Kluyveromyces lactis: one gene and its partners. The protein of the gene in region 1 interacts with the protein of each later gene in a pairwise test. Links are inferred from orthologs where the notes say so. Each region holds a gene or a part of one and is shown in the gene's direction. Other genes may lie near its edges.

Region 1 (4,373 bases):
ACTCTAGCACTCTGAAGCATTAAGTATACCCAAATTTCTGAGGAACGTTTACTGAGAGGCCTGCAAGTTTGTATTTAAGAAAACTGTATTTAAGAAACCGTACTAGGAGCAACGGCCTCGCTAGAGGCCGTTTCTTTGATATGATAGCCAATGTCACGTGATGCCAAAAATCCGTTCCATACAAAATATAAGAAAAAGAGTATCACGTGATGGTACACCATCACGTGACGTAAACAACCCTCAAAGCTGCGTGTTATATAGCGCCAACCGGGAACACCGCTATCCGCGTCGTTATTGCCACTTCCAGTAATTGTCCGAGGGCGAATGTCTTCCACACGAGACAATCCCCGGGTAATGCCGCACACCTTACAATGGGAAATCAACTTCCCATTGTAGTAAGAAAAAAAATTTTTTTTTCTTCCCTTCGCTTGCCCTTTCCCATGGAACGTTGTGGAAAAAACTCGACAACAGGACACCCAGAATGCAAAGGGGGCTATGTCTTAGAGCATGTCTGGGACACAGAACCGCGCCCGCCCCCGTTTTGTCTTTTGAACCGAAATAATTCTAGCTCATCGATACACCCATAGACCCATAAACGCATCAATCAAATGAAAATCAAAAACAACAATTTGGACCGCATATTCACTTAAAATGCAGTAGCAGCGGAGGGCGCGTTCTAAAAGTAGGAAACGTCTACGCTACTTTAGGATTAGCCCTCTGGACCGTGTAATGTAATGTCATACCACTTCCATGTCCGAGTGAATGTCCGTGTCTCGGTGCTGGGATGATCCCTGAGATCCCTTGCCCTCGCTCTAATACCGGACTCCCAGTTTCACACATATAAATAGAGGAAAACAAAGTTTAAGATGCGATGCCTTTTCCCATACCATTGGCGGTTGTTTTTGGGATAATTTTAATTGTTCTGTCTGACATATTTTAAAACAGCAAGAAACAACAACTAAGTAACACATACAGTTAACAATGTCTGACAAGATCGAAGAACAAAGAGAAGCTATCCAAGATAAGGTTGAAGAAGTTCAACAAAATGCTGAGGAAACTGCTCAAGAAGCTCAACAACAAGCTGAAGAGACTCAAGAACAAGCTCAAGCTAAGGCTGAGGAAACTCAAGAACAAGCTCAAGCCAAAGCTGAAGATGTCAAGAAGGAATCTCAATCTTTTTCCAAGAAATGGTTGGGTAAGTTGAAGAAGTTGTTTAACTAAAGTTAAAATAAAAACAAAAAAAGCTTCCGCTTTTTTTATTTTATTTTTAATCAACTATTAAAGTAATTCTAACATTCCAAATTATAATCTTAACCCCATTCTCCTCTATTATTATTCCTACTATCACCAACTTAATATACATCTTTATATATTGTCTAATACTTAATAATTAATATGCTTCTTCTTTTATTCAGTGTTTCGTCATATTGAACAATGTCTGGGCGTGTTTTGTTTTGTGTTTAAACTTTCGTTGTCTTATTACCCGGATTTCATAACAACCTCAGTTTCCACAACTTAGCACATCTTTTCAACTTAAAAGTGTTGATAATTCGCATCTCTGTATATATATGGTATGTAGAATAGGCAATATTCAGCATTGTCTCAGGGAAGGACACATCATCCAGCTTGTGCATCAGGTAGAACACCCGCAATTATCATCTGCCATGTTTCAACAGCAACCCCAGGCTCAAGCGGCTCAAGCTCAGGGGAATGTGTTCTCGGAACAAACCCGCAGGAAATATTTCCCACAATTGAAACCTTACTTCCCAAATAACCAAGGCCAGGGTCAAGGCCAGCCTCAAGGGCAGGCTCAGGGTCAAAATCAAACCCAGGGCCAACAGCAACAACAGCAACCCCAAAATATGCCTCCTGGTTTGCAACAAGGAATGCCCCACCCAGTAGTAGAAAACAACCAACTTCCAGGTCAGATGCCTGGGATGGGCCAAGGGCCAACTGCAGGACCAAGTTCAGTTCCTGGGCCAGGTCCCACACCAGCAGGAATAACACATGCGCTAGATGATCCAAATGTCTACCATTGGATATGCCAGCTCACTTACGGGCCAAGCAAAGAACAAGCGCTTCTAGAACTAGGTAAGAAACGTGAACAGTATGAGGATTTGGCTATCGTGCTGTGGTCCAGTTTCGGTGTGATGACGTCGTTGCTAAAGGAAATAATTTCAATTTATCCGCTTCTTTCACCTCCTGCATTATCAAACCAGTTATCAAACCGCGTATGCAACGCTTTGGTGCTCTTACAATGTGTCGCATCACACCCAGATATCAGGCCTCAATTCTTACAGGCTCACATCCCGTTGTTCCTTTTCCCATTCTTATCTACGACATCAAACCAAAGAACTTTTGAATATTTAAGGCTAACTTCACTAGGTGTCATCGGTGCTCTAGTGAAAAACGATTCTGCAGAAGTGATCAGTTTCCTTCTAAGGACAGATATTATCCCATTATGTTTAAGAATCATGGAAAACTCTTCAGAACTTTCGAAGATCGTCGCTATCTTCATCTTACAGAAAATATTATTAGACGATAACGGACTCCAGTTCGTATGCGCGACCCCAGAACGGTTCTACGCGGTGTCACAAGTTTTGGCAACTATGTTTAAGCACATGTCCCAACAACAGGTGCCGGGAAGATTATTGAAACATGTTGTAAGATGCTACCTAAGATTATCGGATAATTTAGAAGCCAGAAGATTGTTGAAACAAGTTTTGCCGCAACAACTAAGAGATAACACCTTCAATGAAGCACTACAGGACGATGTAGGTACCAAGAGATGTCTTGCACAACTACTCCTGACTCTAGATGAACAGCAGCAGTGATCTTGCCTGCTATATCATATATATCTCCATATCCATATATATATATATATATACATATATATCATAATTAAAAAACAAGTGTTACCCTCACTTTCACACACCCGCTTCACTTTTTTTTTCATTCCAAAGGACTTCTACCGATTTGCAAACTGAAAACATTATGAATATAAATATATACCATACCACACGGCAAAAAGAATTGGATAAAACACGAGGTTAATAGGCTCAAAATTGGCTACTAAAGGTTAGTACGTCATTTGAAGGTATCCTAGCACTGCCAATTGCATGTCTGCACAAACTTATAAGAAGTCTGAGGACCCACACAGTGGGTCCTTGCCAGACAAAATGGCGATCTATCAGGATTGTTTGAATCGGTTCAATGAATCTCCTGTGAATCCTAAACTGTGCCGTACCCTGATCACAAGCTTGTTGGAACTATTGTCGCATGGTGAGACTTTCCCTAGACAAGAAGCTACTGCTTTATTCTTTTCCATTTCGAAATTGTTCCAACACCCTAACGATTCTTTGAGACAAATCGTTTACGTGGCTATTAAGGAATTGTGTGGAATCTCCGATGATATCTTGATGGCTACTTCTTCAATTATGAAAGATGTTCAAAATGGTTCAGATCTAGTGAAGCCTAATGCTATTAGAGCATTGATCCGTGTCTTGGATGAGTCCACTGCATTTTCTGCAGAAAGATTATTGAAAAATTCGTTGGTTAGCAAACATCCATCTATTTGTTCTGCTTCTTTGGTCAGTTCATACCATTTATTACCAATCGCTGAAACTACGGTGAAGAGATTTGCTAATGAGACTCAGGAAGCCGTTGGTGATTTGAAACAGTTGCCATATCCAGATGAGAACAGTAGATATTATCCAACTACGTCTCATATCTCTCAATACCATGCATTGGGTTTGTTGTACCAATTGAAGAATCACGATAAGATGGCTTTGATCAAATTGATCCAACAGTTTGCCGGTCATTCTTCACCATTGAAAAATCAATTGGCTCAAGTACAAATGGTTAAATTCGTGCACCAATTGGTTTTGAAGGATCCTAACTCCATCCCCCAGTTCTTACCACTAATAGCTAATTGGTTGCAAAGCAGACACGAGGCTGTTGCTTTGGAAGCTTGTAAGCTTACTGCGTCTCTATCCAACTTGGTTCCTAACGATTTGTTTGCAGCAGCGGTTTCTGTCTTGCAAGGATTCTTGTCCACTCCTCGTGTGACAACCAGATTTGCTGCAGTGCGTTTGTTGAACAAGATTTCTATGGTTTCACCAGAGAAAATTGTGGTATGTAATCCACAATTGGAATCTCTTGTTAACGATAGCAACAGAAACATTTCCACTTACACAATCACTACCTTGTTGAAGACTGGTACCGACAAGAACATTGGTTCTTTGATTAAGACAATTACCAAGTTCATCCACGAGGTGAATGACGATTTCAAGATCATCATTATTGATGCTATTAGAACTCTTTCTCTAAATTTCCCTGAGGAATGTGATACAATATTACATTTCTTGATGGAA
Region 2 (5,651 bases), on another chromosome or scaffold:
GATGGGGCAATAATAGGAAGCTACAAGTGTGTGACGACTCAGCCTTGAAAATCATTGAGGAACCAAAGGTGATTTATGAGGGGGATACGTCTGATATCGAGATGGCTTTAGGAAAGGACTTTACCTGTGTACTTTCCAGAACTGAAAATAAATTAATTATAAAAGGGTCATTAGCAAAAGAACTTCCCGAATTGATATCACAGTTGTCGCATGATTTCGGATCAATTGCCAAGATTGACTCTATGTGGTCCTCGTTACACATTCTTACTGGTGAACGAAAGCTTATATCCATTGGACGAGGTTCTCATGGCCAGTTTTTGGAAGAACCTCTGCCTTCAGAAACTCTGGATTTTGTTACTGGTAGTGAGCATGGGGTAGTAACTACTGCTGACATGAAAGTATATTGTTGGGGCTGGGGAGAGCACGGTAATTGTGGGTCTTTATTCAAGACAGAGACAAATCCGATCAATGACAAGAGTAACGTTATCAGCCCCCTTAATATGATAGGAAAATACGAAAAAGTTGTTAGCATCTTCGGAGGATGTGCGACCACATGGTTAGTGTTGGTTACGTGAGCACCGATTATTTTCTCTTAGCAAAGAGAAGAACGCTCTCTAATGTATATATGCATCTATGTAACAAAATGTTAAGAAGTACCTTTCCCATATTCATGTTGAAAATATAAAATATACAACCATGGCAATTAATGAAAATACCAGGCGGCTCACATGGAAAATATGTATAGACTTCTTGATTATTGATGTCTAGAGACTCGTATCACCCAAACAACTAGAAATCAAAGTAAAAATCACACTTTCCTATTCGAAAACAACAGAGAAAGATAAATCAATACGATGATTAGTAGCCCAGTTTCTTTAAAAGTCCCTTGCAAGAACCCAGATAATCACTTATCCAAGTTCTTACTGATCTTTTTAGAAGAAAAATAATAAACGATACAACTGTTAATAACGAGTTATCATATTGTAAGTATGTTGTGTGCGATGAACTTTCAGATACTTTTCGTTTTTTTTATTTTAAAACGTTCAATTTTTCTTTTTATACATAAGTCCTTCACAAGAAATAGGGCCTTAGTAACTGTAAATGGTTTATTTACTGCAATTAACTGGGTATTGCTCGTAATATTAGAGCACCTATTATAACTATCGCAAATCAGGAATCTCTTGTACTGTTTTATTGTTATGCTATCTTGCTATATCCGTGAACAATAGTAACCCGCGTATCGTTACACGAATAAATTAAGTCCGGGTAATAGTACAACTGTTGATAATCCTCGCCATAATCAGATATGTGGTCCGGGTAATATAATAAAACGATCAAAATGACGAAAGCTCAGAGTAGAGCGTATCGAGACCAGAGTGGCAACAGCTGTCACTTCTTCAGTAACAAGCAAGCTCTAACCCCCGATAGTTACAGAAACTGGAATATTCTCAACAACATAGAAAAGAACATTGGCATTTAAAGATCAGAGCTACACCAATTGTGCATCTACCTGTGCCCCGGTTCTTTATTTACCACTCACTAATATTGTTACCTCTCTTTGTTTCCACTTCTGCACAGGTTCTACTGAGTGTTTTTTCTTGTTTTCCTTTTATCAAACGGTTTTTAAGACTTTGTTTTTTCTTTGAAAGAACTAAATAAATCTTATATTGAAATTAAAACATTAAACATTAAAAGACATAGACTTCGGCAACTAAGGAAGCTTTACAGCCTCATCAGACGACTAGTTATTACTGTACTGACTGTGCTTTTTTTATTTGATATAAGAGGAGAATTTAATATAATCGAGATACTAAACCGAAAACATATTAAGAAATAAGAACTGGTCATTGGGCATATTTTGAGAGTTGTAAGATTCTAAACTGATATTGATATTTAGAAAAGCTGGAAATAACAACGAATAGAAGTTTAAACAGGAATCAACGAATAACAGCAGTGAAAAAAATTGAAACTATTATCAACACATTATAATTGAATTGGTGCAAATGAATTATCCGCCTCCCTTGTCAGGATTCCAGAAACCTGCTGGGCAAGCGGTGCCTCAGATGGTGGGTACGCCGCAAGCTGTTACTCAGCAGCTTCACCAGCATCCGCCAGGTTTGATGGGAAATCAAGGAAACCAACATCAGCCGGCCCAACTAAACAATGTCCTTCCTATGATGATGAACCAGGTTCAGAATGTGATAACTGGCGGTGCAGGGGGACCACAGCAAGCTGTGGGTCCTCCTAATGTTGGAACACCTAATGCAGCCCAGGCTGCGTTAGTGGCTCAGCAATTGTCCAATGCTAATAATCCGTTATGCCATCCACATTTAGCGGACCCCTCGTTGTTGAATTCACCAATTTGGAAGTTACAGCTTCAATTGGCTGCAGTTTCCAGACAGTCTTTGGGTCAATCGAATGTGTATGCTAGACAAAACGCCATGAAGAAGTTCTTAAATAATCAAAATCAGTTGGGACTGTCTACTAATGGCCAAGATGGCGTTCAGTCACAACAGCAGCAGGGCCAGCAACAACAACCAAGTCAATCTGGTCAGCAACAAGGTCAGCAACCTTTAGGTAATGACGCATCCATGTCTTTAGTCGAGCACACTAAACAACATCTTATGGAGATGGCCTCATCCGGTAATGAAGCTACTGCATCTGCTGTTAATGTCAATTCTGATCTAAACTCTACAGGGTTCTCAACTCCGAATACTCCAAAAGCAGAGCTTCATCCAAATACACCTTCTCTACTTCTGCAACACAAGAAGCTGTCTCAATATAATATCGACGAAGACGATGAAATTGAACATCGCATGGTAGCTCCAACGAACTCTAAACATGATGATCAATTATGGCACGCGTTAGACCTTTCCAACTTGGCCCTTTTCAATCTTAACGAAAAACTGTTCCATTACGAATTTTTGACACGTTTATATTTAAATGGTAATAGCCTTACTTCATTACCCTCTTCCATCAAAAAACTCAGAAATCTAAGAGTGTTAGACTTGTCTCATAATAGGTTGACAGAACTACCAAAAGAGTTAGGTATGTGCTATCAGTTGAAATATTTATATTTCTTTGACAATATGATCACAACAATCCCCTGGGAATTTGGTAATTTGTTTAACTTGCAGTTTTTGGGTTTGGAGGGCAATCCTCTTGATAAACAACTCGTGAAAATTATAGCTGAAAAGTCTGTCACTGGATTAATCTTTTACCTCAGAGATAATGCGCCTGAAATCCCATATGCCAAGGATAGAAAATTTATTGAAATATCAGCTGATGGCGAGCCAACTAACGAATACGAGTCATTACAAGAGAATACAAATCACATGAACAATACTTTATTGAAGAATAGCTTCACATTGTTATCTTACAATACGTTGTGTCATCATTATGCTACTCCAAAGATGTACCGTTTCACTCCATCTTGGGCGTTAAGCTGGGATTACAGAAGAGAAAAGTTGAAAGAACAGTTACTAGATTTTGACACAGATGTTATATGTTTGCAAGAAGTTGAAACTTTAACATATGAGGAATATTGGGTTCCTCTTATGGAAAAATATAACTATAGTTGCTTGTTCCACGCTAAGACCAGAGCCAAGACAATGCACGCCAAGGATTCCAAAAAGGTCGATGGTTGTGCTATTTTCTACAAGAAGGATCAATTCCAATTGGTCTTCCAAGATTCAATTGATTTTAGTTCTGCTTGGAGAAGCCATAAAAAATTCCATCGTACAGAAGATTATTTGAATCGTGCTATGAATAAGGACAATGTTGCGCTAATCGCAGAACTAAAGCATTTGAATACAAACGAAAATGTGTGGGTGGTCACTACTCATTTACATTGGGATCCACAATTTAATGATGTTAAAACTTTCCAAGTTGGCGTGATGCTGGACTATTTAGAGACTTTAATCAAACAGCACCACCATGTAAACAATAACAATGACATAAAGAAGATTCCTATGGTCATCTGTGGTGATTTTAACTCCCAATTAGACTCTGCTGTTGTAGAATTATTCAACAGTGGTCACGTCACGGCAAACCATAAAGATATTGATCAAAGAGATTTCGGTTATATGTCACAGAAGAATTTCTCGCATAATTTGTCGCTCAGATCAAGTTACGGCGCCATTGGTGAACTACCATTCACAAATATGACACCCTCCTTCACCGACGTCATCGATTATATCTGGTATTCCTCTCAATCACTACGTGTTCGCGGATTACTAGGGAAGATCGACGAGGAGTATGCATCCAAGTTTATTGGGTTCCCTAACGATAAGTTCCCAAGTGACCACATCCCTCTTGTCACAAGATTTGAAATTTCAAGGGGTAACGCCACCCAAACATCCAGCAGGAAAGTGTAATTGTACTAATTTTATTTACAATCATGTTTCACTTCTTTTTGTTCCCTTTATTGCTGGCTTTATCAAGATATCTATACCAGTTATTGCCACATTCACTTTCATCCTGCTCTTGTAATTGTAAATTTCATTTAACGTTATCAATAGAAGATACATCAGACATCTTGTGTCCTTTCTCAATTGATACAACAAAACCATATGTGCCGGTAAAATCCACCAAAGAAATGATATTCTAAGAAGTGCCTTTTTTTTTTAGGATGTTAAAACCGGTTTATCCCATCATTTCAACTAATACTTCATCATTTATAACGTTAGTCTTTATTTTCTTCTGTATATTAATGTTTTAAAGTCTATTCCAAGTATAACTGACAGGCTTTCTCACTTTTTCTTTTCCTGTCTCTGGACGGATTAAGTGATTTTTTTGTAAATTCCTTATCATATTTTTGGAAACTAAACAGGAATTCCTTCAGAAAATTGTTGTTTTATGGGAAAACATAATGATGCAAGCTACAAAATTACTGATGAAGGGATTTTAATTAGTACTTGGTCAATATATACATTGGCTGGTCTGTATTTTGAATAAATAGACTCAAGGGGAAAATTAATACACCAAATATTTCATCGAATTATGGAACTAGAAGAAAATGACGAAACTCCAATAACGGGAACTGCATTAAATGATCCTATTTCCCAAATACAAACCAAGGACCTTTCCAAAGAATCTACATACATCAAGCTTACTGATACTAATTATCTTGCATTTTTCCTTATCGGTATTGCATTACTTTGGCCGTGGAACTCATTCTTAAGTGCGTCATTATATTTCCAGCATGATGTATTTCAAGACACGTCGGTGTATGCAAGGATTTACATCAGTACCATGATGACAGTTAGTACGATATCATCGGTACTGTCTAACATAATTTTATCCAAAATTCAACATCATTACACTGAAAGAATTGTTAGTGGATTGTTCTTCGAAATTATTGTATTTACTTCATTATGTGGTGTGGTACTATTCCATCGTTGGTTATCCCACTTACTGTCATTCATCATGATTATGTTTCTAGTGCTTGTCAGTTCCGTTGCAACTGCACTCTCTCAAACCGGTGTCATGGCTATGGCTAACGTTTTCGGACCAGAATACAATCATGCAGTGATGGTGGGACAAGCCGTCGCAGGGGTACTACCGTCGCTAGTGCTCTTCATGGTCTCGATCTTCAATCAAAAACAGGAACAAACAGCGACAGGTATCAATCTATATTTCTTATCCACTAG
Region 3 (4,751 bases), on another chromosome or scaffold:
ACTTTTGGGCCTAAGGCTCAGAGGAAGAAACCAAGAATCGCTGCGTCGTCGTTGGAAGAGTTGATTTCAAGTACTTCTACCGATAATAAGACTTTTGAAGAAAAGCAAGAATTGGATTCTACTCTGGGGCTTATGGGTAAGCAAGAGGAAGAAGACGGTTGGACGCAGGCAGCAAAGGAAGCCATTTTCCACAAAGGTCAGTCGAAACGTATTTGGAACGAATTGTACAAGGTTATCGATTCCTCCGATGTCGTCATCCACGTATTGGATGCTAGAGATCCTTTGGGGACTCGTTGTAAATCGGTGACTGATTACATGACCAATGAGACTCCTCATAAACATTTGATATACGTCTTGAACAAGTGTGATCTTGTTCCTACATGGGTTGCCGTATGTTTTAAACTTTCTTTTTAATCTTCAGTGATTACTACTAACCGATTATACTTTCTAACTGGGAGTGAATACCACAGTATCTTGAGAATACCAAAATTCTTTGTCAGGGTGTTTCTGCGTACATTCTAGTACAACTTACACATACAGAAGGGCCTGTTACAGTTTTGGAAGAGCAATACTACCCACCCTCGATCTATCCATCGTTTTGATGGAGTCATGGTTGAAACCTAGTTGAACAATCTTCGTTTTGAGGATATATCAGCGCTTTTATTTCGGGTACGGAGGAACTTAAGAGTTGAGCTTTGGATCTGAAAAGAATTATTATGCCATGGCTCGTAGTAAAGAACCTCACATCACCACTAATATACTCAATACAGCATGGAGTCAACCCCCAGTAGAAAGCATAATTGGTTATTGATTCACATATGTGATTACAATTTTACTAACACGATTTTCCCTATTTTTGATTCTCAACAGGCAGCATGGGTAAAACATCTATCGAAGGAACGTCCCACATTGGCATTCCATGCCTCTATTACCAATTCATTTGGTAAGGGTTCGTTAATTCAACTTCTACGTCAATTCTCACAACTGCATAAGGACAGACATCAAATCTCTGTTGGGTTCATTGGATATCCAAACACCGGTAAATCCTCAATCATCAACACTCTAAGGAAAAAGAAGGTCTGTCAAGTGGCACCTATTCCTGGTGAAACTAAGGTGTGGCAATACATAACTTTGATGAAGAGAATCTTTTTAATCGATTGTCCCGGTATTGTACCGCCATCCAGCAAGGACAGTGAAGAGGATATTCTATTCAGAGGTGTGGTAAGAGTTGAACACGTTTCGCATCCTGAACAATACATTCCAGGTATTCTAAAACGTTGTAAGAGACAACATTTGGAAAGAACCTATGAGATCTCCGGATGGAAAGACTCTGTAGATTTCATCGAAATGATTGCAAGAAAGCAAGGTAGACTATTGAAAGGTGGTGAACCAGATGAAAGCGGGGTATCGAAACAAATCTTGAACGATTTCAACAGAGGTAAGATCCCATGGTTCGTACCACCACCAGAGAAGGACAAGATTGAGGAAAAGGAACCTGGTGATAAGAAACGTCCTGCAGAGGAAAATCAAGAAGATCAAGAAGAGGAAGAGAAGGAGCAAGAGGAACAAGAAGAACCTGTTTCTAAAAAGGCCAAAAAGGAATAAACCAAACACTTCCTCAATATTTAATTCTCTCCAGACACGGGCATCGCTTTATATATAGACACACCATATACAATCTTATCGGATCTATCGTTTTTGTACATTAATATCAATCGGATGACTTAGGCTAAGTCTTGCACATAGAAATTTATTAAATAAATAGTAGAAAGGCTGGATAACACCGAACGTTGTGAAGCATGCAGATCAGGGGCAGAAACACTGGACAATGGACCCATTCGGGTCCACTGTCCATTGAGAAGTGGTGCCAGTGGTAATATCAACACCGTACACAATGACATTTCCCTCGAAAATTCTGTTTCTGCCAAAGAGGAACGAAACAGGAAAGCCTTTAGCATTAGATAAGGAAGAGACAGAGACATATATGGTTGGAATACGATTCAATTCTGATTTAAGAGTTGTCATTTAGGACTACTCCAGTAAGTACGATAGAATTTTAATGCAATCTCTTAATAGTCAGCTCGGAGGATTGCCAAATTCGGAGCAATTTTTCGGGAAGGGCGCTGTTCAGCAGCAAGGGCCAGTTGGGATGAACGGGATGCTTTTCTCCCCTTCTATGAATAGTACTCGTATGATGCCTCAACAGTCGCAACAACCACATGTGCTGCATGGGCTTGAGAACAATGGGGGTCTTCAAAATTCGTACTTGTTGAAACAGAAGATGGATGTGGTAAACAGTGCTTTTGGGCAGCAAAACAACTTACAGCAGCAGCAGCAACCGGGAAAAATGCCGTTGCCGAATAATGGGCAAGTTCCTATGATGATGCAGAACAGCATTTCCGGTGGTAACTCTAATAACAATACGATTCCACAGCAGATGCAATTTCCAATGCCGGTACAACAACAGGCAATGGGAAACGTGAACGGGCTTGATACAACACCATTACCTAATGCATCTCATACGCCAATCTCGTCTCCAGCGCATCTTTTGATCAGAGAAGTGTGGCAAAACAACGTAAACTTCGAGTTTGCCATAATCCGTAAAATGATCGAGCAATACAAAGTTATTTCTATAAGCACCGAGTTTGTCGGTACGATAGCGAGACCCATTGGGAATTTCCGCTCAAAGACAGATTACCATTACCAGACGATGAGATCCAACGTGGATCTACTAACCCCAATCCAGATTGGACTTTCGTTAAGCGATTTACAGGGGAATAAACCAGACAACTTCCCATCCACATGGCAATTCAACTTCCATTTCGACGTAACAAAGGAGACCGTGAATTCGGAATCGTTAGAACTATTAAAGAAATCCGGTGTCATCTTGGAGAGACATCAACAGAACGGTGTTGATTTCGACGAGTTTGCTCAGTTGATGATGGATTCCGGGTTATTGTTGAACGATGAGGTCACGTGGATCAGTTACCATGCAGCATACGATTACGGGTTCTTAATCAACAGGCTCATGAACACAAACATGCCCAACAACAAAGAGGACTTCGAATGGTGGGTTCAGAAATACATACCAACGTCGTACGATTTGAACCTAATTAACAAGTTAGTTCATGAGGTAACGCAACAACACCCACATCCACCACCATTACATCTATTACAAAGTCAACAGCAACAGCAACAAAACCAACAACAGCAATATACACTAGAACTACTGGCTGACGAGTTGGGGATTCCGATCTTCCCATTGTTCAGCAGCGCAGCGGGACAAAGTCTCTTGGCACTATTGGCATACACCCAACTCGGTAAATTGTCTTTGTACAAACTACGCAATGGAACAGATTTCAGTTACTACAAGAACCTGATCTACGGAATCACACAGGAGTAATATATGTGATTTTTATGTGCCAGCCTTTCATATAGAGTATCATCAATAATGCATTTATGTATGTGAATATATATATATACATACACAATCATTCTTAAAATAGGGTATAAAAGGTGGCTGACTAGCCACCGTCACTGAACTGAACTGATGCTGACCAGTGCGAAACCCACAGGTTGCAAGAGCGCAACCTGTGTACTTCATTCACCTGGCATCTCGTGAGGCATGATTTCATAAGATGATTGACGAGTTTTCCATTAAAAAATTTTGAAAATTGACTCTTTACATATAATCACTAGATGCAAACATGCACATACTTTGCTTGTGAGGGGCGTTTCTTGTTGTTAGGGTGTCTATTTGGTTCGCTTATCGGTTTTCATGCATTCATTAGAAACCAGACTTTAATCTTTAGCGATAAGTTTGAAGCGTGAGGCACATATACGGTGTTCGTAGTGCTGAAATTTCCCGTGAGTCTGGAAAAAAGCACCCATAGGAAATTAATACTTTTTTGTTATTGTATTCTAGTATACCCTATACTTTCCTGCTTGAATATCCACCGTTAATACACTTGGATTAAAACGTTGTTAGAGCGTTATTAGAGCGTGCTTTTCCCTTCTTTTTTTTTTTTTTGTTTGACAGTTTTATTTTTAATTCATTCAAAGGTCTTTCTGATTGACAACGATTGACTGTATTGCATTCATTTCATACACTTTAGCATTCCAATTTGATTTTTTGATACCCGCGATCGGTTTGAAATTGAGAGTTATCAAAGAATAGTTGAATTCTTTTACAAGAACCAGTGTGTTTTTTCCTGTTTAGATTAATTTGATACAATCACATTTGGTTTGGAAAATATGACCACTTACGATGTGAAAGAGATCGGATATGCGTTCCTAAGGACGTACTATGAACGTATGCATAATGATCCATCGAAATTGTCGTGTTTATATTCTACCACGGCGGAATTGACCCATGTGAATTATAATGAACCTATCAAGCATGACAAAGATTATTTAAACACCGTCAAGTTGATTGGTAAGGATAACATCAACAATTTCTTTACCAGAAACAGCAAGCGTGTACAGGATTTGAAGGTCAAGATTGATTCGTGTGATGTGCAATCTACTGGGTACGAGAGTTCTTCGATTCTGATATTGATATTAGGGGAGCTATGCTGGACGGATTCACCATCTTACAGATTTTGTCAGTGCTTTATCCTGGAACCAGCAGAGTATAACAGTAAAGTCTACGATTTGAAAAACGATATCATTCGTTTCATTCCTGACCTTGCTCCATTAGTGAACCCAGACCAGCCAGTATCACCACCATCTGCTGTTGTTGTTGAAGCTGA

What was found. The genes of interacting proteins can lie anywhere in the genome.
Region 2: the proteins of CAF40 (region 1) and CCR4 interact in binary tests that used the Saccharomyces cerevisiae proteins (3 or more experiments, as listed by UniProt). The link is inferred for Kluyveromyces lactis from reciprocal best matches to the Saccharomyces cerevisiae genes CAF40 and CCR4.
Region 3: the proteins of CAF40 (region 1) and POP2 interact in binary tests that used the Saccharomyces cerevisiae proteins (3 or more experiments, as listed by UniProt). The link is inferred for Kluyveromyces lactis from reciprocal best matches to the Saccharomyces cerevisiae genes CAF40 and POP2.

Annotation. Positions count from the first base shown.
Region 1 is NC_006041.1:1,171,388-1,175,760, forward strand, and holds CAF40 (CCR4-NOT core subunit CAF40), read left to right. Parts: upstream 1-1,568; coding exon 1,569-2,834; downstream 2,835-4,373. Other genes in the region: SEC21 (coatomer subunit gamma), read left to right, coding at 3,120-4,373. UniProt on the Saccharomyces cerevisiae protein: Acts as a component of the CCR4-NOT core complex, which in the nucleus seems to be a general transcription factor, and in the cytoplasm the major mRNA deadenylase involved in mRNA turnover.
Region 2 is NC_006042.1:1,467,337-1,472,987, reverse strand, and holds CCR4 (CCR4-NOT core exoribonuclease subunit CCR4), read left to right. Parts: upstream 1-2,003; coding exon 2,004-4,376; downstream 4,377-5,651. Other genes in the region: ATS1 (Ats1p), read left to right, coding at 1-575; nucleoside transmembrane transporter FUN26, read left to right, coding at 5,002-5,651. UniProt on the Saccharomyces cerevisiae protein: Acts as a catalytic component of the CCR4-NOT core complex, which in the nucleus seems to be a general transcription factor, and in the cytoplasm the major mRNA deadenylase involved in mRNA turnover.
Region 3 is NC_006039.1:1,668,299-1,673,049, reverse strand, and holds POP2 (CCR4-NOT core DEDD family RNase subunit POP2), read left to right. Parts: upstream 1-2,059; coding exon 2,060-3,403; downstream 3,404-4,751. Other genes in the region: putative GTPase NOG2, read left to right, coding at 1-390, 871-1,605; BRE5 (Bre5p), read left to right, coding at 4,255-4,751. UniProt on the Saccharomyces cerevisiae protein: Acts as a probably catalytic component of the CCR4-NOT core complex, which in the nucleus seems to be a general transcription factor, and in the cytoplasm the major mRNA deadenylase involved in mRNA turnover.